Linked DNA regions of Tamandua tetradactyla. The protein of the gene in region 1 purifies or fractionates together with the protein of each later gene. This does not show direct contact. Links are inferred from orthologs where the notes say so. Each region holds a gene or a part of one and is shown on either strand. Other genes may lie near its edges.

What was found. Proteins that work in one complex are often made in the same cells at the same time.
Region 2: the proteins of PBXIP1 (region 1) and SLC27A1 purify together in Homo sapiens (co-immunoprecipitation; 3 studies listed by BioGRID and IntAct, with this or other methods). This does not show direct contact. The link is inferred for Tamandua tetradactyla from reciprocal best matches to the Homo sapiens genes PBXIP1 and SLC27A1.

Annotation. Positions count from the first base shown.
Region 1 is NC_135330.1:7,949,899-7,960,672, forward strand, and holds the start of PBXIP1 (pre-B-cell leukemia transcription factor-interacting protein 1), read right to left. Parts: upstream 4,064-10,774; 5' UTR 3,893-4,063; coding exon 3,790-3,892; intron 3,428-3,789; coding exon 3,378-3,427; intron 2,693-3,377; coding exon 2,588-2,692; intron 1-2,587. Other genes in the region: SHC1 (SHC-transforming protein 1), read right to left, coding at 6,147-6,275, 7,130-7,368, 7,513-7,647, 7,727-7,796, 7,873-8,071, 8,891-9,017, 9,199-9,250, 9,436-9,489 and 3 more. UniProt on the Homo sapiens protein: Regulator of pre-B-cell leukemia transcription factors (BPXs) function. Inhibits the binding of PBX1-HOX complex to DNA and blocks the transcriptional activity of E2A-PBX1.
Region 2 is NC_135337.1:96,592,702-96,602,800, reverse strand, and holds the start of SLC27A1 (long-chain fatty acid transport protein 1), read left to right. Parts: upstream 1-5,845; 5' UTR 5,846-5,939; exon of another isoform or gene 5,940-5,978; intron 5,979-6,038; exon of another isoform or gene 6,039-6,148; intron 6,149-6,705; exon of another isoform or gene 6,706-6,784; intron 6,785-6,886; exon of another isoform or gene 6,887-7,064; intron 7,065-7,102; exon of another isoform or gene 7,103-7,163; intron 7,164-7,321; 5' UTR 7,322-7,322; coding exon 7,323-7,480; intron 7,481-10,099. UniProt on the Homo sapiens protein: Mediates the import of long-chain fatty acids (LCFA) into the cell by facilitating their transport at the plasma membrane.

The DNA of each region.
Region 1 (10,774 bases):
TTTTCTTCCAAGTAGTGGAGCATGAGGGAGGAAACTGAGCAAAGACACTCCCCCAGAAGCCATTTTACAAAATGGGGAAAAGGGAGACCACACAAAAAATAGCAACAGCTAAAAGGGGCAAACAGAAGTACATACACAACACAAAGCTGAGCACTAGGGGGCTGCTCTTTTCTCATTGCCTCAAAGGATGTCGGCCCCACCGATTATACAGTATACCCTGTGTCTTCTCTCCACGTGCTAGGGAACTGAGAGAATTGAGCAGGGGACCACAGAAGGGCCTCTGCCACCACACCTCATGGAAAGGGATCACTAACTTCTCCCAAGAGGGCCACATCCCCTGCCTGCCCTTCCCTACCCCAGTGAGGAATGTTTACAAGGGCTGTAAGGAAAACACAGCAGCTGTGAGGGTTCCGGGTCAGGCCCCCAGCCATCCCTGGCAGGCAGTACTTAAAAAATAAAATAACAACAAATAAAGCCCAGTGCAGGACTTCGGCTGAAAAGAATAAAACTGCTAGATCACTAGCCCCCCACCCCAAAATATGAAAACCTGGCAGGGGAAGAGAAGCAGAAAGCATCCAGGCTCTTCAACCTTTTAGTAACACCGCCAACGAGGATCTCACAGCCTCCCCTTCACACCCTTTAGGGCCTTACTTGGATCTGTTATCAGGAGAGGAAATGAGGTATAAGGGCTCTGACCCTTTCCAAGCTTTCCTTCGGTCGGTCGAGCAGGGAGGCAGGGAAATAAGGGTGCCAAAGGCTGAAGGCCCAAAGGATAATGTGCAAGATGGATGAGTCAGGGGAGAGTTATACAACCACAGAATCCAGACTTCGGGGACAGTCCACACCTCAGACGCTCTGGTCTGTCAGACCACATATCCCAATTTTTGGCAAAAATATGTTCATTAGGAGAAAAGCACAAGGGAGGTGGACAAAGAACCAGTGACTTTGGTATGAGGGAGATATCTCCTGACAGCATCTCTTACCTACTGTCTTGAAACCCCAAATCACCAAGAAACTGCCATAGCCAAAAACTCTCCTGCCTCTTCAAGCTATTTGGTTCTTTGAGGGGGGAGGAGTTGGGTAGGACTTCGAGGAGGTAAAGGGAGGGTGGAAAGAGGAGAAAATCCCCACTTATTCCCTAAAGCTGTCTCCCAGAGCCCATCACAGGGCTACTACGGATGGGAAGAGATCCGAACTCCTCTGGTCAGAAACCTTTAACACTCGACTCCAAAGAGTAAGGCTGGAGCTGTGAAGCTAGATAGGGGTATTAGGCACAGGTGTTAGAGGGCATCCAGCAGAGGGAACCCCCTTGCTCTCCAGATCTTCCTCCAGCCCCTTTTCTCTTGCCGCCATACCCCTAGGCCTCCAGAGATTGCCACCCAAAAAATGGCTCTGCTCAGCAAGGCTTTGGTTTCCTGGACCTCTACAGATCTCAATGTGCAAGTTTCCAGAAAAGTGAGCAGTCCAGACCCTCTTCTGCCTGCCCACCTTAGTTCCTTTTCTCCCCCCTGGAGCCACTGTGTTTCTGCCCCATGAGGATAGGAAGCCAGTGGAAACAAGGACCAAGAGCCAGGCATGGAAACATTCACCCTGGAAGAGCACTTCCTTGGGCCCTTCACCAGTGTCACCCATCGTTGGCAGCCACCAGCTGCCCCATGCCCTCGCGGATATAGACGGACTGGATCTCCTTGGTCTTGAGGCAGAGATCACAGGCCCAGACAGCAGAGGCCTCAGTGGTCAGCAGCCCATAGGCGCTCTCAGTCATGCCTGTGCACTCGCGGTGGAACCACTTCTGGCAAGAGGCCTCACACAGAATGGCATCTTGGTCGTCGTTCACCTCACTCCGACAGGCACCACATGGGTACACCAGGCCTGGGGGAGGCTGAGGCCCTGAGCCCCCACCTGTCTTGCCAGGAGGTGCCAAGCTGTTAGCATCCGGGGTGCCCCCACCCCGCCCACTGCTGTTTGGAGGAAAACTGGGCTGATTCCCATTAACAGCAGCAGCCGGGGAGCCTGAGTGGGGCTCCTGGGGAAAAGCAGTGGCAGCAGGTGGATTGAGGGGCTTCCCCCCATCCTCACCACCAGGGCCAGGAAAGCCAGGATCCGGGCCTGGGAAAGGACTTGTGTTGGGGGGTAGGCTGGGGAGCCCCTGACCAGGTCTCTGGAGAGGAGAGGGGCCAAAAGGTGCACCTGGCTGGGCAAAGCGTTGAGGGAGCGAAGGGGGGCCCAGCTCCCCTCTGGGAGGTTGTCCCATGGTGGGTGAGATCATGGGGCCAAATCCCCCCACTGGGCCAGGCATCATCTGCCCACCAGGAGGGCTGAAGTTTTGACCCAGAGGCTGGCTGAAGGGTTGGCTGGGAAAGTTCATGTTGCCTTGGGGTGGGTAGCCAGGGCCCTGAGGGGGCATGTTGAAAGCAGGGCCCATAGGGTTGGGAGGAAAAGGGGGAGGCTGTCGACGAAGAGGCTGGGGACCCCCTCCACCCCCAGTACCATAGCCTGGAGGTACCTGGCCTGCCATGCCCCCCTGTACACGGAAGCCTCCAAAGGGCACAGGACTGCCAAGGAATGGAGGGGCTGTGCCCCCCACCTTAGGAGCTCCGAAGTCATCCTCAAAAGGGTTGGATGCGACCAGGTGATCCACCATGGGAGTTGGAGGTGGCGCAAACTCCGTCAGATGTGAGTACGCAGGGCCCTGGGGGGGACCAGACGAGGGAGAAAGTCACGAAGGAAGACGCCGAGTTAAACCGGGAGGAGAGCACTAAAAACACAATATATGTTTTTGAGGGTGGTACAAGCCAGCTCAGATCTTAGATGAAGATGGACCTTAGAACATAACAGAGGAACAGAGGGTAGAAAGCAAACAGCATAGTGCAGTCATTGTGCTTTTTTTGAAAGCAGGCAGAGATTAGGCTAAAATCCCAACTCTGACCCTGAAATGTTTCAAAACCCTAGCACACACACACACAAAAAGGCAAAAACAGAACAAAAAAGACCCCAGCATACTAAACAAGGATTTTAAAAAACAGGTAAAATAAAAACAATATCTATCTCCCAACCTGTACAACACTTAGCACAATCCCTGGCACTTAGAGAAAGTCCAGTAAGTGGAAAGTGCCATGATCATGAGGGACCCAGGACAGGAAGAGCAGGTGGGGCGAACTGACCCTGCCTAATGGGGTCTTTGGCCATATCACCTCTCAAGGGTGGGTATTTCTCCCGGTTTGTTATGATGCTGAGGGAAAGGTCCACAAATAGTAAAAATGACAGCTTTCCCTTCTCTCTGTACCTGATACAAGATCCAGATACATATGGAAGTGGTAGATTAGAGGGTCCCAAGGAACTGCTAGGAATTACCCCCACCACCAGCCACCACTCACCTGAGTATTTGACTTCCTTCGCTTTTTTTCTGGGCTCTTCATTTGCAGACCTGGAAGAGCAGCAAACGGTAGACACAGGTTTCCCCAACTTCTTTTCTCCCAACCATCCCCTGAGCAACTCCTGTAACTTCATTATACACTTGCTAATTTACTTCATAACATCATAGGGTGTGATGTGAAAAATGAATTGTGAGCATGGGTATATACTAGGCCACCTTTTCCCTTAAATGAAGGAGAGTCCATCTCTTGATACCGTCAAACTCCAAGTGACTCCTGAATTCCATGTCCCTTAAAACCCCAGGGCCCTGGGTCTGTGACACGTGCCCCCAGTCCCTGAAGGTCTTCGCCCACCTACCCTCTTCCGAGCCTCCTAGGGCCCCTCCGCGCCCCCCGCCCCTCCCAGAGATCTCACCGGCCTTGCCCTGCTTCCTCCCGGTGCTGGGCGGCGCAGGGGGCGGTGCGGGGCCGCCACCTCCCTCCAGCTTGTCCGGTGGGGGCGGCGCCGAGGCGGCCATGGGGTGGGAGACCGGGGTCAGCGGCGGCGGGAGATGGAGGCGCCCTCGGGCTGCACCATCGCCCAGAAGGAGAGCCAGGGGCAGTGCAGGCCCCCGCACTGCAGCGACCTCGGGGCGCGGCTAGGAGCAGATGCGGCGCGGAGCGCAAATCGCGCGCCCGCTCTTCTCTCCGCCCGCCCGCGGCCGCAGCAACAGGAAGCGGAACTCGGCGTGGCCGCCACCACTGAGCCCGGCGAGCAGGGGGACCCGGCTCTGGGCAGGACGCGGCTGGGAGCTGCCGGCGGCGGCGCGGGGAGAGCCGAGCCTGCGGGCGAGCCTGCGGGGGCGGCGTCTCAGCCGCTGGGGCGGCCCGTGCCACCTGGCCTGGGGGCGCGCTGCCGCCGGACCGTACCATTCCGGGCCGCCGCGGAGGAGGCGCGCGCCGGGGCGGCCCGGGCTTCCCGGGGGTCCGGCCTCGCGGCGCCGACAGGCCCTCTGGCCGCTCCGGCCCAGCCCGCGGCGCGAGGCGGTCCCCGCGAGGAACCCGCGGCGGATCGTGGGGCCCGCGCGCCACACCCTGCCGCGCCTGCCCCGCGCCCCGCGCTCGAAGCCCCGGTCCCGCGGGCGGCGAAGGGTCGTGCAGGGCCCGGGGGTCCCGCCGCGCCCCGCCCCGGGGCTGCCCTGAGCCCCCCCACTCCCTCCTCCCCGCCCACCGCGGCGAACAATGGACCTGCGGAGTGACCGAGAGACAGGCCCGGCTAGAAGAAATACGAACTTTAATGAGGATTATTTCCCTTTGGTATAAGTGAAACCCGTGAAAACATCCACACACGAAAAGGAGGCGAGAATTAAAAGTCAACTCTCCCGTATGCACGAGGCCTAAGAGAAGGGGCAGGGCCGTCTTCTCCGTCTCGGTGGCCAGGCTTAGTGCAGCGCCAAAAGTAAAAGGTGCTCAATAAATCAACACAGGTTTTAATGCTCCCCTCGTGAAACCTTTTTCAGCCATACTTCTACCTCCCAGCCTCGATGTAAGAGGCTCCGTTTTTCTAGCCCTACCCCTCTCTGCCTCGGATCGCTCCTGTAAAAAAAATTAATGCTGCCGATCCCAATTCCCTCACGGGATAGGGTGAGGAAAATGCCAATAATTGTAAAAGGGCTTTGAAAAGTCAAAGAAGTGATGTATAAACGTAATCAATTATCATTTTGTGCTCCAAGAACAAGCCATAGAAAACAAAATTAAAAAATAAATCTACAGCCTTAAAATACATGTATATAAAATAAAAAATAAAAGCAGTTCCACATCTAGAAATGATATTAGGGATTGTCTACTGCTTTAGAGTCTCAAAGGCCCTGTTCCCTGCTCTGTAAAACTCTCTTGGGAGAGTTAATTTTACAGGAGGCCCAAATTCAGCCCTGCCCCCCAGCACCACCCCAGCCACGGAGGCAGGGCAGAGGCTACAGGGGGAACGGTTGCACTTTGGCTGTAGAGTATAACATGCATGCGACATGGTGGGGTGGGGCTTACAAAGTCATATACAGACCCCTTCTGTGAGGGGCCCCGGCCAGGAGGCACTGAGGGAGGGAGGAGTCCATCTCCCCCCTGGCCGGGAGGGGGGCTCTGGGGCAGTCTCTAAGGGTATACATCCCCCATGGAAAGGGGGCAGGTGGCACTCCTCCTCTGTTCTCCCAACCTAAACTGGAGGAGGTGCTGAACAAAGACAGGAGAGGGTCTCAAAAGCCAACGTGTCAGGACCCCTGTCCTTGACCTCAGGGGCCCAAGAAGAACTCTTTGCATAAAATATATTCAGACCTAGGAGATGGTCAAAGGCACAAAGTTTCAACACTGGGGGGAGGGAGGGGGTTTGGGAGGGGCCTGGGGCATATCCTGAGCCTAGGGGTAGACCCAAGTTGTGATTCATTCCCTCTTCCCTGGAAGGGTGATTGCTTCACTGGGCCTATCACCACAGAACGTTCTTGAGGCACTGTCCAGGCCTCAAGAATCCACCTTCTTGGCGAAGAGGGTATCAGGTTGGCACAGACAAGGCCCAGGGAAGGGAGCCACTCTGTACATTAACGCTTTGGTGAGGTTTGAGGAGAAGCAAGATTCCACCCCAATCTCATGACTCAAACCCTCTCACTCAGCCGGATGCCGAACCACGTGTCCACACCACTCCCAGCTCCAACACAAGATCCAGCCCTCAGAACACTCCTGAGAGCCAGGGAATAAAGTGGATGGGGCCAGAGGGTGTCTCCTGGGAGAGGGCACTGGGAAGGATCACAGTTTCCGCTCCACAGGCTGCTGGAGGCAGAGTTCGCTGCCTGCAGAGATGATGGGCAAGTGATTGTCCATGTGGTAGCTGATGAGGTGACTGACGCTCTCAAAGCGGTGATCCTTTGTTCGAACCTGGGAAGGTCCGAAAAGAGAGGGACAATTCAGGTAGAGTGTCATAAGAGGACCTCAGCCTCCAAGGTCAAGGGAGCTGGAATATTCAAGAGGGTTGAAAAAGGGGAAAAAAAATGGCATGGGGGTGGGGAGGTGGGGAGGTAGCACTTGGGGAGCTGTCAGTCCTGATAAGTGAGGCCTCTCTAGAAAGGGGCTCGACAAGGCATGGGAATGGGCAGGGCAGTGAACTGGGGAAAGGCAGAAGGGATGCCAGCCCAGGAACCGTGAAACTGAGGGATAGCTACTCCATCCTTGCCCTGGAGGAAGCTGGCCTGTCTCGAGAAGATACACCGTGCAAAAAAGGATGTGTAAGGGAGGCTGAGATTGCTATAACAGAGAGAATAAAATTGTGAGGGGAAGCCGGGGCAGTACAGATAGGAAAAAGGGCACTGCCCTGAGTCCAGAGTCTAGGGAAGCTGGGGAGGGCCCTGGCTCCACTTGTAAGGGATGAGGGGTCTGGCCTCTAATCATCTGCCCACCAAGTACAACTCCAGAATGGTCTCATCTGTCAAAAGAGGGGCCCAGATGAGATGAGCACTCAGGCCCCCTTCTAGCTCTGATGGGCTTTAGGTTCAGGGATTTGAGGATTAGCCAGGGCTGGAAGGAATACAGCTTAGTTTTAGGGAGGAGAAAACTGGGAACGCTAAATCTCTGGAGAAGGGTCACCAAGGCACCTTTTAAGAGCAGGGGAGACCCGTACAGAGCTTCCCGGATGGGAAAGTCTAGGAAGCAATGCATAAAGGAACAGAGCTGCACTGCAGAGTACTGTATCTTTCTTTCTGCAACCCCTCTCCCCCCACCTCTGCCACACTCACCACCCCCTCAGGGTCCACCAGCAGCAGGTGCTTGGGCTGCCCACTCTGCAGCCCGGTGAGCACATACTGGCCAGGGGTAGTCGTGCTCTCCCGCACCAGGAAGTCCCCATTGAGCTGCAGCAGCGCCTCAGCTTCCCGCCGGCTCAGCTTCCCGTGGAACCAGGGCTCCCCGCGGAGCTGCTCGGCCATGGACAACGTCTGGGGAGGTGGAGGCACCCGAAGGGCATCTTCAAACGGCTCTGAGGGTGCAGAGAGAGGGTAGGAGAGGCAGCCTATACGCTCCTCACCCAGGACCCAGAACTTAGGAGAAGGCCAGGAAGGAAACGGCAGATGGACGAACCAAGAAGGAAATGGGGATGCAGAAAGGAAAGAGGAGCACTCACTCATGTCAAAGAGGTCACGGGGTGTGCTGCCATTGATGGCAGGATTGAGGGGCCCGGCCCCGCCCCCTGCTTGCCGAGCCTTGTCTAGGTTCTGTACATTGACATAGGAGGGGTCATCAAAGAGCTCTCTGCCTGCTGAAGACAGGGAAACTTTACAGTGAGCCTAGCCCTGCCCCCTGTGCCCCAGCTCCGCCCACCTCAGCTCCCTTCAGACCTGGGCAGGGTGGCAGAGGTGGCATCTGCTTGCGGACTTCTGGGTCTCCCCCCGCAGGCTGCCCCACTGGCTGCAGGGACAAAAATCAGATAAGAGCAGGGACCCTCCCGCCCAGGGCCCCGCCCACCGCCATCCAAGCAACCTACCAGCGTGGCCCCCAGATGGCTGGGGGTCTGGGCACTGGGTGGAGCTGGTCGAGCAGCGCCCAGCGTGGCTCCCTCCCGAAGCCTCACGTCTACCACGCCCCCAAGAGGGGGCTCCTTCCCCGGGAAGTCATTATAGTACTGGTGATCAGGTGGCTCTTCTTCTTCCTCATCCCAAGCTGAGCCATCGAAGCCAGCCATCCTGAGAAGCAGGCCAGAGTGAGGGGCGAGGGCATGAACGAGGAGGGGGTGGGGGGGGGGCGGGCAATGAATGGGCAGGAACAGGACAGGGGCCACGTACTGGGCACTCAGCACTTGTTAAACCCAAGGCTGGAGTTTTACGTGCACAATCATTTCATCCTCCCCACAACCCTGAAGACGGGGTTATTTTTCTTTCTATAATTTTACACATAAGGAAAATGAGGCTCAGAGAGGTGAAAGGATTTGCTCAAGGTCAAACAACTAAAACCTGAGACTTAAATATAACTTTGAATTTAAAACACATGCCCTATTACTGTGCCATCTCCCAAGGGGAAAGCGAAGCACCAAATAGCGGGGAGGGGCTCAGAATCTTGTAACCTTCTCTAAAGACTCAATAGCTTCTGGTCCTATTGCTTAGCCCTCAAGGCCCGCGGTGGGAAAAGTGGGGGAAAAATAGAAATCTTCCTTCACCCTTATTCTTGACAGCTTTTAGGGGCAGGAAAAGGCAAAACAAAGGATGGGAAAATGGGCAAAAAAGAGAGAAGAACCAGAAACAAAGAGGCTTGGACTAGAAGAGCCCACCTAGCCAGGGAAGGCTGTGCAGCCTGGAGGTCCTAGAAAACGGTTCCAGAGAGGGCACACATAAGAACAGGCTCTGCACCAGGCAGGGCCTCAAAAGCCTTTCCTGACGGGCCACAGGAAACTGAAGAATAGCAGGAAGTGGGAAGCAGGGGCACATGGGTTATTTCCTTCCCTGAACGACTTTCCCAGCTCAGTTTCTGGAGCCCCAGAGTGGCCCCCACCCCGTTCTCGCACTCACCTGTCATGAGGGGTGACGAGTCTGGGTGGGTTCCTGAGGTACTGTTTAAAGCGCAGCTCGAAGGCCTGGCCAATGGTGCTGATGACGTCCTGGGCAAGCCCTTCAGGACACTCCAGGATGTGGCAGGCTGAGGGCACAGGAGACGCTGTCCGTGAGCTCTGAGGCAGGGGCTGCCAGGAGGAGGGGAGGACAGAGGCCCGCGCCCCCTCGGCAGGAGTCCCCACTCAGCTCCACTCGCTCAGGCAGGGAATGATGACGCCCCAGCCCGGCCCTGCCCGCCGGCCCCCAGTGCCCCCGCTGCGCCTCACCTCGCTGATTCACGGGGTCTTTGGCAACGTAGGCGACATACTCAGCTGTGTCCTGCAGAGGAGGGTCAGAAGGGCCAGTGAGCAAAACCTGATGCCCCTACCTCACTCTTGACCCCTAAAACCTGGTCCTTTCCAGATATCTCCTCAATCCTAGCACCCCCAGTTCTCTTGCCAGGGTCCTCCCAATGCCCAGCCCCTTATTTGTCTCCCAGCATCTTCACTCGACCCCCAACTCACCGGGTCCCCGCCGGACGCAAACGAGATGGACTGCATGTGGTGGTTGGCGATGATCTGAGGGCCGGGGCAGGAGACGGAGAAGGAAGGGAACGAGGTATGGCAGGCGACCTCAGGGCCCATCTGGGTGCCCACAACCCCCCACCCACCCCCCGGGTCAGAACTCTGGAGTCCCAGTTTCATCCTCTTAGCTTCTTACCTATGTCTGCAAAACTTCCTCATTCTTTACTGTCTCTCTGTTCCCAAGCCCTCACTCCTAACCAGATCCCCCCTTAGCGCTCCCATCAGAAGGGGTCCCCCTGCCCTCACCCACCACCAACCTGCTTGCAGTCTGCAGCCATGAGGTTGAGGCTGCTGGTGGAGATGGTGAGAGTGATTGGCATGCCGGCAAACTTCAGGTTACTCCTGCCCAGGATGGAACTGAGCGGGCGGCTACAGGGCTGAGGAAAGGCCCAGAGATTTCAGAAGCTGAGGATTCCCAAGACCAGGAAACCACACTCCTGCCTTTTGGTCTCCTCTCCACAAGCCCCACACCTGCCTTCCCCCTACCCCTCCACACTTCCCAGGAGCATCCCTAGCGCCATCGGGTACCTTTCTCCGCCTTGTCGCCCCCTTCGCACCCGGCACAGCCTCACACACCAGGCTGATGGCTTCCCTGGGGAAAGAGGGGTCCTCAGGCCCAGGGCCTGCCTCCCGCTTGACTGGGGCTGCCCGAGGGCTGGGGGAGGGGAAGGCCACGCCAGACGCCCAGGGTACTCCAGGCTCTTTGTCGTGGCAGATTGAATTAAGGGCCTTTAATATTTGATGACAGTGAGCGGCCACCTCCTGGCTGACTGGGTTAGGCCCTCAATGGGCACGGCCCCACCCCTCCCAGCCACCAAATGTCCCGTTCCCTTCCCAAAGGCAGCAGCACCTTTCATCTACCCCATGTCCCCCCCCCAGCTTAAACTCTGCCTCTGTCACCTCCCTCACAACTCAGGCTGGACAGGTAAGGAGGATCCAGACCGGAGTCTCCCCTCTGGATTCAGATTGAGGCTTACCCCCTAACTTTCTCTCAATGCCCTTCACCACCCAACGATGAGCCACCTTGAGCACTCCCACCAAGTGACCTGTCCCCTCCCGCACTTTCCCACAGCCTCCCTGGCCCAGGGTTCCGGTCACCTGGCCCCTCCCGACTCACCTGGTGACCTGAGTCCGGGTGTTGAAGTCCAGGGCGCGCATCGACTGCAGGACCTCCACGCAGCCCATGTACTGAAGGGAGCAGGGGAGGAGGACAAGTCAGTTGCCTCCCCCACCCCCTTCACAAAGGGCCCCAGGACTTGCCCCTACGTGGTCCCTAAAG
Region 2 (10,099 bases), on another chromosome or scaffold:
TTCTGCGCAATGATCCTGGAGGCTCTTGCAGAGTCTCGTTGCAGGTTTCGTGTTACAGTGTCAGGCGGTGACCGACCTCTGGTTCGGGGTGTCGGCCTTCAGTTTGGACAGCTGACCCTGCGCCAATCCCCGGGTGGGGGTGGGGTGGGGGGACCAGAGACTGGGCACAGTGTGTGATTTACATCTCATTTGCATGTTTTTGTGTTTGGCCCCGCCCCGAGGCCGCGGCTGTACTTCCATGCTGTTGCCTCCCCTGGGGTCCCACAGCTCCCAGGGGTCTCACCGGACACCAGACAACAAATGCATCCATCTATTAAACATGGGGTTGTCGTTAAAACAGCTTTTGAAACTACGGCTGTAATTGTGCATAAGAAATGATGTACACAAAGATAATATCTGGGAATTCTTGAGAAGGAGAAAAACTTAAAGCAACCATTTTTTAAAGACAAAAAGAACATTGTGTTATACTGACAACAGTCAGCCTTCAGAGAGCCAAACGTATTCTGCCCGGAACCTGGCGTGCGTCCTGAAGCCCTCAGAGTGCCAGAGGAGGTGGTTCTGTGACAGTCCCATTTTATAGAAGGGGAATCTGAGGCACAGTGAGACGGCTCTCCTGTGCTCGCCCCACACTCCACCTTTCCTTTCCCGCGTGACAATCAGGAGAGACCCCCCCTCTGCCGGCCGCTCCTCAGCGTCTCAGCACAGTCCCCCCCACCCCACCCCACGAACTCAGCACGGTCCCCACCCCCACCCCCCGGGCTCAGCACAGCACCCACCCCCGTCCGCCCCGGGTCCACACGGTGCTTGCGGCGATTTAGGAGCTCGGTGAGGCTGCACGGGGCGGGGTCATCGAGGTCCTCAGGCTGCAGGAAGCTGCGGTCTGGCAGCTTGGCCACCTCCCGCCAGTTGGCAAAGCAGGCACCACCAGGGGCAGCAGACATTTCACGGCGCCCGCCCCCCACCAGCACTGCCCTTCTTTGGACCCCGCGCCTGCCCAGCATTTTCCCCCAAGCGCACGGCATCCCACGCGCGAAGGTGTTGCTCACTTCTCCTTGGCTTCTGAAATTCAAGGTCAGCTCCACGAGCGGGGTCTGTTTGTTGGCTGGGTGTGCAGCAGCTGCGGCAGGGTGGGGCCCAGGAGCCGCGCTCAGGAGATGTTTGTGGGGTGAATGAATGGATGGATGGATGTTGCTGTAGCCATAGAGAAACACTCCACGGGTAAGGGGATGGAGGTCAGGCAGGGCCTCCTGGAGGAGGCGGCCTCTGAGCTCAGAGTGCCAGGATGAGGCAGGGAGAGGTGGGAGAGCCAGGCCATGGCTACAGAGCTCAGATGGGAGGGAGAAGGTGGGGCCTCAGGCCACTAAGCCGAGCTTGGCTCCGGTTCTTACAGCTGAGGCCTGCGGATGCCCATTGCAGCCCCGGAGACCAAATTCCAACAAATCTGCCGTCTGGAAGGGATCCTGCAGCACCTGCTGGGGCCGCGGCCCTTTCCCAGAGCAGCATTCCACAGCCCGCCACCACAGCACACACCATTCTGGAGAAATCCCACAGGAGCTGGGAGACCAGCTGCAGCGAATATGAATACAGGAGACCCAGTGTGCTGGTTTGAAAGGAAGTATGCCCCCTAAGAAAAGCCATGTTTTAATATAAATCCCATTTCTTAAAGGTAGAATAATCCCTATTCAATACTATATATTTGAAACTGTAATGAGATCATCTCCCTGGTTGAAGTGATTTACTTAAGAATGGTTGTTAAACTAGATTAGGGGATGACATGTCTCCACCCATTTGAGTGGATCTTGATTAGTTTCTGAAGTCCTATAAAAGAGGAAACATTTTGGAGAATGAGAGATTCAGAGAGATTCGGAGAGAGCAGAGGATGCTGCAGCACCACAAAGCAGAGAGTCCACCAGCCAGTGACCTTTGGAGATGAAGAAGGAAAACGCCTCCCGGGGAGCTTCATGAAACTGGAAGCCAGGAGAGAAAGCTAGCAGATGATGCCATATTTGCCATGTGCCCTTCCAGCCGAGAGAGAAACCCTGACTGTGTTCACCATGTGCCTTCTCACTTGAGAGAGAAACCCTGAACTTCATCGGCCTTCTAGAAGCAAGGTATCTTTCCCTGGATGCCTTTGATTGGACTTTTCTATAGACTTGTTTTAATTCTCGGCCTTAGAACTGTAAACTAGCAACTCATTAAATTCCCCTTGTTAAAAGCCATTCTGTTTCTGGTATATTGCATTCCGGCAGCTAGCAAACTAGAACACCCAGGGACAGTCCAATTTCACATAAACAACAAATAATTTTAATGTATGTCCCGTGCAATGGCTGGGACATATTGGTACTAAAACAGTGTGTTTTGTTGAGCTGAAATCCAGGTTTGACTGGATGTCCGGTGCTCTGTCTAGCAATCCTGGGGGGGGGGGGGGCACCCCTCGCTGCCCGATGCTGGTCTGCTGGGGCTTTGGTGAGAGCCGCCCCCCACCCCCACCCCAAATGAGGCCAGCACGGGTCTCGGGCCTGGGAGGGGCCTGCTGCGGGTTTGGGGGAAGATGCAGGGGTGGTGGCTGGGGGGACAGCGAAGGCAGCGAAAAAATAGTGGACAGAGAATGAAGGTCTTCAGGACCTGAAACTTGCCACTGTGTTACAAAGTAAATTGGTAAAATGTCCCTAAGTCTGCAACTAACTGCCCAACAGTTCAGCAAAACTGCAGCGCCGTGGAGGTGAATCTGGCAAAATGTTCCCAGTCGCCGTGCCACTTCTTTGGCCTTTTCTGTACGGCTAAAATGGTCATCGTAAAAAGCCCGGGCAGGGTGGGGTGAGGGACGTGAAAAGGGTCAAGCTTTACTGCACCCACACTAGACCCTGTCTATGGGACGTCTCCTGGCAGGACCCGAGTCCAGCCACCCTGAGGATGCACACCACCGAGTGTGGGCCACTGGGGCTCCCTTGGGAGATCTTGGGGCTCCCCTGGGAGAACTTGGGACCCCCCTGGGAGATCCTGGGGCTCCCTGCCCACGCTGTGCCCTCTGCCTGGAAAGCCCTCCCTCCCGTTCCTTGTTCTTTATCCTCCCATCTCGCCTCTCCTGGGCAACAATAAACAAACCCGTGCCTCCCGAGGAAACCCCCTCCTCCGGGAAGCCTTCCCCAACTGCCCCACCCGCCTCACCTCCTCAGGCCATCCTGGAAGGGCAGGAAGAGCCACTTCTTCAGCATGTCCCTGAGGAACGGGCCCTGCTGCTCCTCCGTGAGGTCCTGGGACGCTAGACCAGGATAGCTGGGCGGCCGCCTCATGTGGAGCTCATCCCTGAGCCCCGGGAAGAAGCCTGAGTGGTGGCGCGAAGGCCTGGCAGTGCGGGCAGAACAGCAGCAGCGGGTGGTCCAGCCGGCGGTGCGGCGCGGCCTCGGTCTCCAGTGCATCGTGCCCAGGGCTGTTGCGGAGAAGGACGCCGCCTGAGAAGATGGCAGCCTTGGCCCTGGGCCCAGCGCGCCCCCGCTCAGCTGCCCTGACCCAGATCCAGGCCCTTGGGAAGCAGCTTCCATAGGTGCCAGGCCTTTCCCCTGGCGCCCAGGGGGCAAAGGTGGTTTCAGCCTGCGGGCGGGGTGCAGCCCACAGGGGAGGACACTGAGCTGCCCAAGGGACGCGGTGCCATGGCAGAGTGGATGCGGGGAGGGCAGTGCAGGGGTGACACTGCACTGTGCCAGGTGTGCCAGCGGCGCTGCATCAATGCACAACGTTAGTGACAGGGAGGGCACTCCTGTCACTAACAGGTTGTAGGTTTATATATTTCCCTATAAACCTACAACTACCCTAAAAACACAAAATTAAAGTTTAAATGCACCTACGTGTGCCTTCAGGAACGCATCCGCCCACCCAGCTCCCAAGGCTGGTGCGTGTGGGCGTCCCGGGTGTGTGCAGTCTCCAGGCCTGATTCCCACGGCTGACTGGGCCCCGGGGCGCCGCACTGAGCCCGTCGAGGTGGGTGGAGGCGCCCCTGGTTTTCCCTCAGCAGCGCAGTCCCCTCAGGGAGCCCATGGGGGCAGATGAAGCCCAGGACACAGCAGAGGCACGTCTGGGCGCCCCCCGGGGTGGGGTTTTGCTAAGGGGACCAGCAGACTGTGGCCAAAGTGTCCATGCAGGAAGCTCATCCCCGCGGCCGCCAGCGCCACTGAACCCGCCAAGCCTGAGCAGAGTGCCTGGGGCCACCTGTCCCACAGGCACAGGGATGCTGTCCCCGAGGGTTCCAGCACTCAGGCTCACACGGGCAACCAGGAAAGAACCGGCCCACGTGGACCCTAAGCCATAAGGAAATCGCAGAGCCACCCGGAGGCTTGGGGGCGGGGGGGCCAAGGGCAGCGCTCCCGCATGCTGGGTGCTCAAGCTCCCCCACCTGATGGGCCCTGTCACGCGTCACCTCGCAGCACTCAGGTCGCCTCCCTGACCTCCCCGAGCTGTGATCACCAAAACCACCTCCAGCCGTGGCCAAGTGTCCCCTGGGGGACACATCACCCCGGAAGACCCTGCTCTAGCTAGCCCTTGCGCCTGCTGCCCCCCCACCCCCCAAATCAGTCTTTGTCCAAACCCCTAGAAGCTGTGAAGGGACCTTCCTTGGAAAGAGGGTCTTTGCAGCGGGGAGAAGAGCAGGAGGCAGCTGAGCCCAATGGGCCCCTTCCTGCCCCTCTCCCATCCCAGGGCCCTAAGTCCAGTGTCTGGTGTTTTCACGGACATGACAGCAGAGGAGCACACTCAGGGGAGACGCAAGGGCGGGGGGCAGTGGGGGGGGGCACCCGGGGCTGGAAGAGGCAAGAGGAGCCCCCCGAGGACCCCGGTGGAGGGGCCCTGCCCCATCTTCATTCCAGGCTCCTGGCCCGGGAAACCGCTGCAGTGAAATCCCCAAGCCGTGAACTTTCCGTCTTATTTCAGTACATGGTTCCTTTTTCCCCTTTGCCAGGAAAGTCCCTGCAGGCCCCTGGGGCACACAGAGGCACAAAGCCTGGAGAGGCACGGCCTGGCTGGCCCGAAGCCTGAGTTCTGCCCTCCAGCCTCTGTTTCCGGTTCTGTAAAACGGGGCAAGCCAGGTTCTCAGTTCCTGCTCCCACATCCTTGGGGACACACGAGTTTCAGAATTGGCCAATACTGCTGCATTCTGTGATGTGGTGGACGACCCCTGGACGCAGCTCGGGCACTGCAGGCCGGGAGGCACCCGGGCAGCGTCCAGCCCCAAGCCTTCTCGGAGCTGTGGGCAGGTTTCAGGAGGCTTATCCTGTGCTGCTCAGAGCAGGCTCGCTCAGCCAGGGGCAGAGGTGGATGAAGGGGAGCAAAAGGAGGGGGAGGCGTGTAGGGAAAGGGTGTAAGGGGGGAGAAAAGGGGTCAGAGAAGAGGAAATGGGTAGAAATGGAAAGAGGAAGGGAGCAGGAGAGGGGTGCAGGGGAAGGGGGAGAAAAGGGGGTACCCCAAGATGGGGAAGAGTAGGTGAAAGAGTAGGACAGGAAGAAAGAGGAAGAAGGGGCGGGAGAGAAGGAGGAGGGGGAAGAGGGGAGAGAATAAGGGTGAGGAGGAGGACACAGGGGTGGCAGTAGGAGCCAGATGGGGGGGGCCAGAGGAGCGACACAGCGGGTGTGAATCCCGACCTTGTGCAAGGAGGGGGCGGACTTCAGTCCTTATCTGTGAAATGGGCGACCACAAGCGGCACCGCAGGACGAGGTTGCAGCTGTCCTTACCGGTCATCGCCTACTCGGCTGACCGTTGGCAGGAAACCCGGGGCCAGGGACTGGCTCCGGGCCCGTCCTCCGGATCTGCCTCCTCGCCCCCTTTCCACCCACCCGAACTGTCCGCGGGGACCAATGGCCGCGTGCGGGGGTGGGGGGCCTGCCCAGCCCTGGCCTCCGAGTGGCGCTGGACACCGGCCCTGGCCTCCTCCCGAAGACAGCGCGGGGAAGGTCGGCCAAGCAAGGCAGAGGACGAGCGGGGGGGCGAGGGTAGGTGGCGTGCGGGCGCCCCGGGGCAGGGGCGGAGCCCGGAGCCCGCAGAAACAAGCCGGGGGCCCGGAGCAGGTCCACGCCCGGGCTGGGTGTCGGGGCCGCAGCTGAGCCTCCTCCCCGGGGTGCCTGCGAGGGAGCGGCCAGCTGAGGGTCAGCGCGGGCGCCAGGTCAGCGGAGGGGGGGCGCCGGCCGGGGTCGGGACTGCAGTTCCGGGGCCCTGGGTGTGCGTGAGGACCCCGGGGCCTGGGCCCCTCGCTGGGCTCCGGGCTTATGACGTAAACTGGCGGGGTCTGCAGGCGGACCCGGGATACACACGTGGCAGCGCTGCGGGGCCCCCACCATCCGGCTCGCGGGCCCCGAGGCCGCCAGGCCTCTGGAGCCGGGATCCAGGCCCGCAGGGCAGGAGTCCAGCGCAGGCGGGTCCTGGGCGGAAACTGGGATATGGGGATCCGAGAGGCCTCGGGCACAGGCCGCGCGCAACCGCGATCACGCCCCGAGGCCACAGGTGTTTCTGGACGCCCCGGGAGGCGCGTTGCCAGGGACACAGCTGCTGGCCTCGACGCCGCTCTAGCCCACGATCTCGTTGGCCGTTGCCATCTGGCGCGGCGCCTCTCTCCGGTCACAGCCTCTGGAGGGGGGCGGGCCTCGGCGGCCGCTCTAGCCCGCAATCTCGTTAGCTATTGCCACTCTGACCTAACGCCTCTATGGTCGCGGCCTCCGGAGAGGGGCGGGTCTCGGAGGAGCGGCTGAGCAGCTCCAGGCCGCGCCCGTCCGGGACAGCCCGGGGCGGGCCTGGGCGCCAGGTGGGCGGAAGGGAGGCCCGAGGCGAAGGTCGGGTGGAACTGGGCCTGGGGGTGCAGGCGAGACCTGAAATTAAGGGCGGGGCGAGGGGCGAGGAGGCAGGTGGAAGCTTGGACGCTAGGGTGAGATCTACGTGCGTGGGCGGGGCCCGGCTTGGAGCCGGAAGAACTGGCCTGGGGGCGGAACCTAGCTTGGGGGCGGGGCCGCGGGTGCAGCTTGGGAGCCGATCCAGCCTCTCGGTCCAACTCTGGCCGAACCGGGGGCCGAGCTGGGCGGGGCTTGGTAAGGGGGCGGGGCTGGTCTTAGGACCAGCCCGGGGCAGGCCGCTGGGGGTCCGGGGGCTGGGCCCGGGGCCTGCCGGGGTCTTGGCGGGGACCAGGGGTAGGCGGGTGGGGGCGGGGCCGGGTCGGGAGGGTCGGAGCCAGAGCCTGGGTCGGAGCCTGGTTGGGCGGGGCGGGGTGGGTCTGGTGGGGCGGGGCGGGGCCTGGCGGGGCGGGGCTCCCTGGCCCACCTGGCGCCTCTGTCTCTGGTCCTTCCAGGATGCGCGCTGCAGGGGCATCCGTGGCCTCGCTGGCCCTCCTGTGGCTGCTGGGGCTCCCGTGGACCTGGAGTCTGGCCGCGGCACTCGGCGTGTACGTGGGCGGCGGCGGCTGGCGTTTCCTGCGCATCGTCTGCAAGACGGCGAGGCGGGACTTTTTGTAAGTGTGATGGGACCACCCCGGGCGGGGATTCTGGGGCTGCGGAGGCCGGTGGCCAAGGGGGCCCGAGCGGGTTGCTGGGCGGCTCGAGGGTCCTGGGAGGCTTCGGTCCCGGGGCGGGACTTGGGTCCTGCATGGGTGACGGCGGGGGTCTCTGAGAGCAGCGTGGGAGGCCGTGTGTTCCAAGGAGACCTCGAGGGGCAGCGAGGCTGGCTTTGCGGGTGCGACCGCGGGTCTTTGGCAGCTGGGGTGGGGAGAGGCCCCTGGAGTTACTTCAGGGTCTCTGCCGCTTTCACAGAGTCCATTTAGTTGCTCTGGCGAGGCGGAGGGGTTGCTTGAGGAGCCCCTGGAGGGCTTTTGTCTCCTCCAAGCTTTTACAGCCCTCCCCAGCCTTTGCACACGTTTAGAACTGGGGACCTGTGTGCGGATGGGGTTGGCTGGGCCTGGGGGGGTGTGTCTTTATTCCAGGGCCTGTTCTGGAGTCGCTGGAGACTGGCTTCTCTGGGGTTCTCCTTGGTGGTGTGTACAGGGTCTCAGGGGGGTTCTCACAGTGGCAGGCTCAGTCATAGCCCCAGTGTGTGGGTACTCACCTTCACAGGTACCCCTGGGCCCATCCCGAGGGTGTGGAAACCGAGGCTCAGGGATGCTTCCATGCAGGTTGACAGCTCTGAACCTTCTAGAACGTGCCTCTTCCTCTCCATGCTCACTGCTCTCTCACTCCATTTGCCCCTGTCCCTCCCCTGGGGTCATTCTGACAGGCAGATCTGTTTTTGCAGCTTCTGTTCCCATGCCTCCATGCACCACAGCCCTGACAGGAGAAGCCTCATTCTCTCAGCTGGACACCTGAGGCCCAGCCCACCTCTGAATGGGCCCCCAACCCCAAGCCAGCGTGTGGTTTCAGGCCCAGACTTGTCGGGACACTCTGGCCCCCTTTTGCTGGGTGGCACCCGCAGGTCTCCTTCCCTGTGTCGGCCCCCACAAGGCCCAGCTCAGGCCCGGCACGCAGTAAGAACACAGGTTCCTCTGCCTCTTGCCCCCACACCTCTCCAGCCCAGCTCTGCCCCTTGGGCCTGTGGTAGCGCGGCCCGGCTCTTGCTGCTGGGCATGTAGCAAACTAACCAACCATTCTGGGGCAGGCGCCCTTGGAGACAGCCTCCAGTGACCCTCCCCTTGTGTGTGGCTGGACCCAGTGACTCACTTCCAGTGGACAGAAGTGATGGGTATTCCCTCTGGGACCTGGTAATAAAAGGCCGTGGACCTTTCTGGGGGCTGCCTCCTGCCCTTTGGCCCTTGCTCTGGGGGAAACTAGCTGCCGTGTTGGAAGCAGCCCTGCACAGAGGGCCCACATGAGAGCTGAGAAGGAGACCCTGCTCAGTAGAGCCCGAGATAGTGGCAGTCCCACGAGAGACCCTGAGCCAGAACCACCCAGCTAAGGCACCCCCAGACTCCTGATCCACAGAAACAAATGGTAAATGCCTCTTGTATCCAGCCAGTTGGTTTTGGGGTTATTTGTTATATAGCAATAGCTAGCTGATACACCTTGTGTAGCCTTCTCTATGTGTCAGCCCCTATTCTAATCCTCTCACAGCTCTGTGAGGAAAGGACACTTGCTAATCCTATTTTAAAGGTAGGTGAACCAAGGTACGGAGAAATGGGGTCATTTGCACAGGGATACCCAGTCAGGCTGGGGACAGGACTCTGGAGCCAGTGCTGATAGCCACCACATTTAGGCTGCACTTAGGCCTGGAGCACAGAAACCGTTGACAGAGAACCTAATTACCCTGTGTCTGCTGCGAGCAGTGTGCACACTTGCCCCTGCCCGTCCCCCCACCTGCAGCCCTGGGGGGGCCAGAAAGAGCAGGATCGGGAAGAGTGTGGGTGGGGCCTGGGGCTGGACACGGGCTTCTTTGTTGGTGGGGTGGGGATGGCTGGGCGCTGCTGCCAGGGGGGGCTGCCAGGAATGCGGCTGGCACCGTGCCCATGGCCTACCTGCGCTTGGAGAGCAGCGCCGCGGAAGCCATCCGCGGGCTTGCCCTGAGCATGGTCAGCTGCCCTCGGTTCCTGTTTCCTGGGTCCGTGGACAGGGCCTGTGTCCTTGGTTTTGGGGGCCGGCTGATGGCCGGGACATGACCGCCTCCCAGAGCTCTTGGGCACTGTCCCACTCACTCACAGAGCCTTTAGGGCAGGGGTGGGCGGCCATGCCTGCTGGGGACCCATTGAGCTCCCCTCCCTGGCCTGAGAGCCTGGCACAGTGGTGGGCAGAGGGGCCTCGGTGCTGTGTGACCCGCGCTCACCATCCCACCCACTAGGCCTTGGGGCCCTCTCTTGAGGTGGCTGTGAGGCTAGCGCTGCATGGCGCAGTGTCACCACCTTCACTCAGCGGGGGCCTGGATGGTGACCCCCTGCTCGTCCTGGCCCCTTCTCGCTCATCCCACAGTCACCCTGGAACTTGTGGGCGGGTCCAGCACCCCTCCTCCACCAGTACCCTTCAGGATATCCCCTGTGCCCCAGGCCGTCAGTCTGACAAGGGCAGGCCACATGGGGACCGTGTGGAACGCCACTTCTTCACGTCCCCTGCGAGGAGGGGTCACGTGTATGTGGGGGGAAGCTGTCCACCTT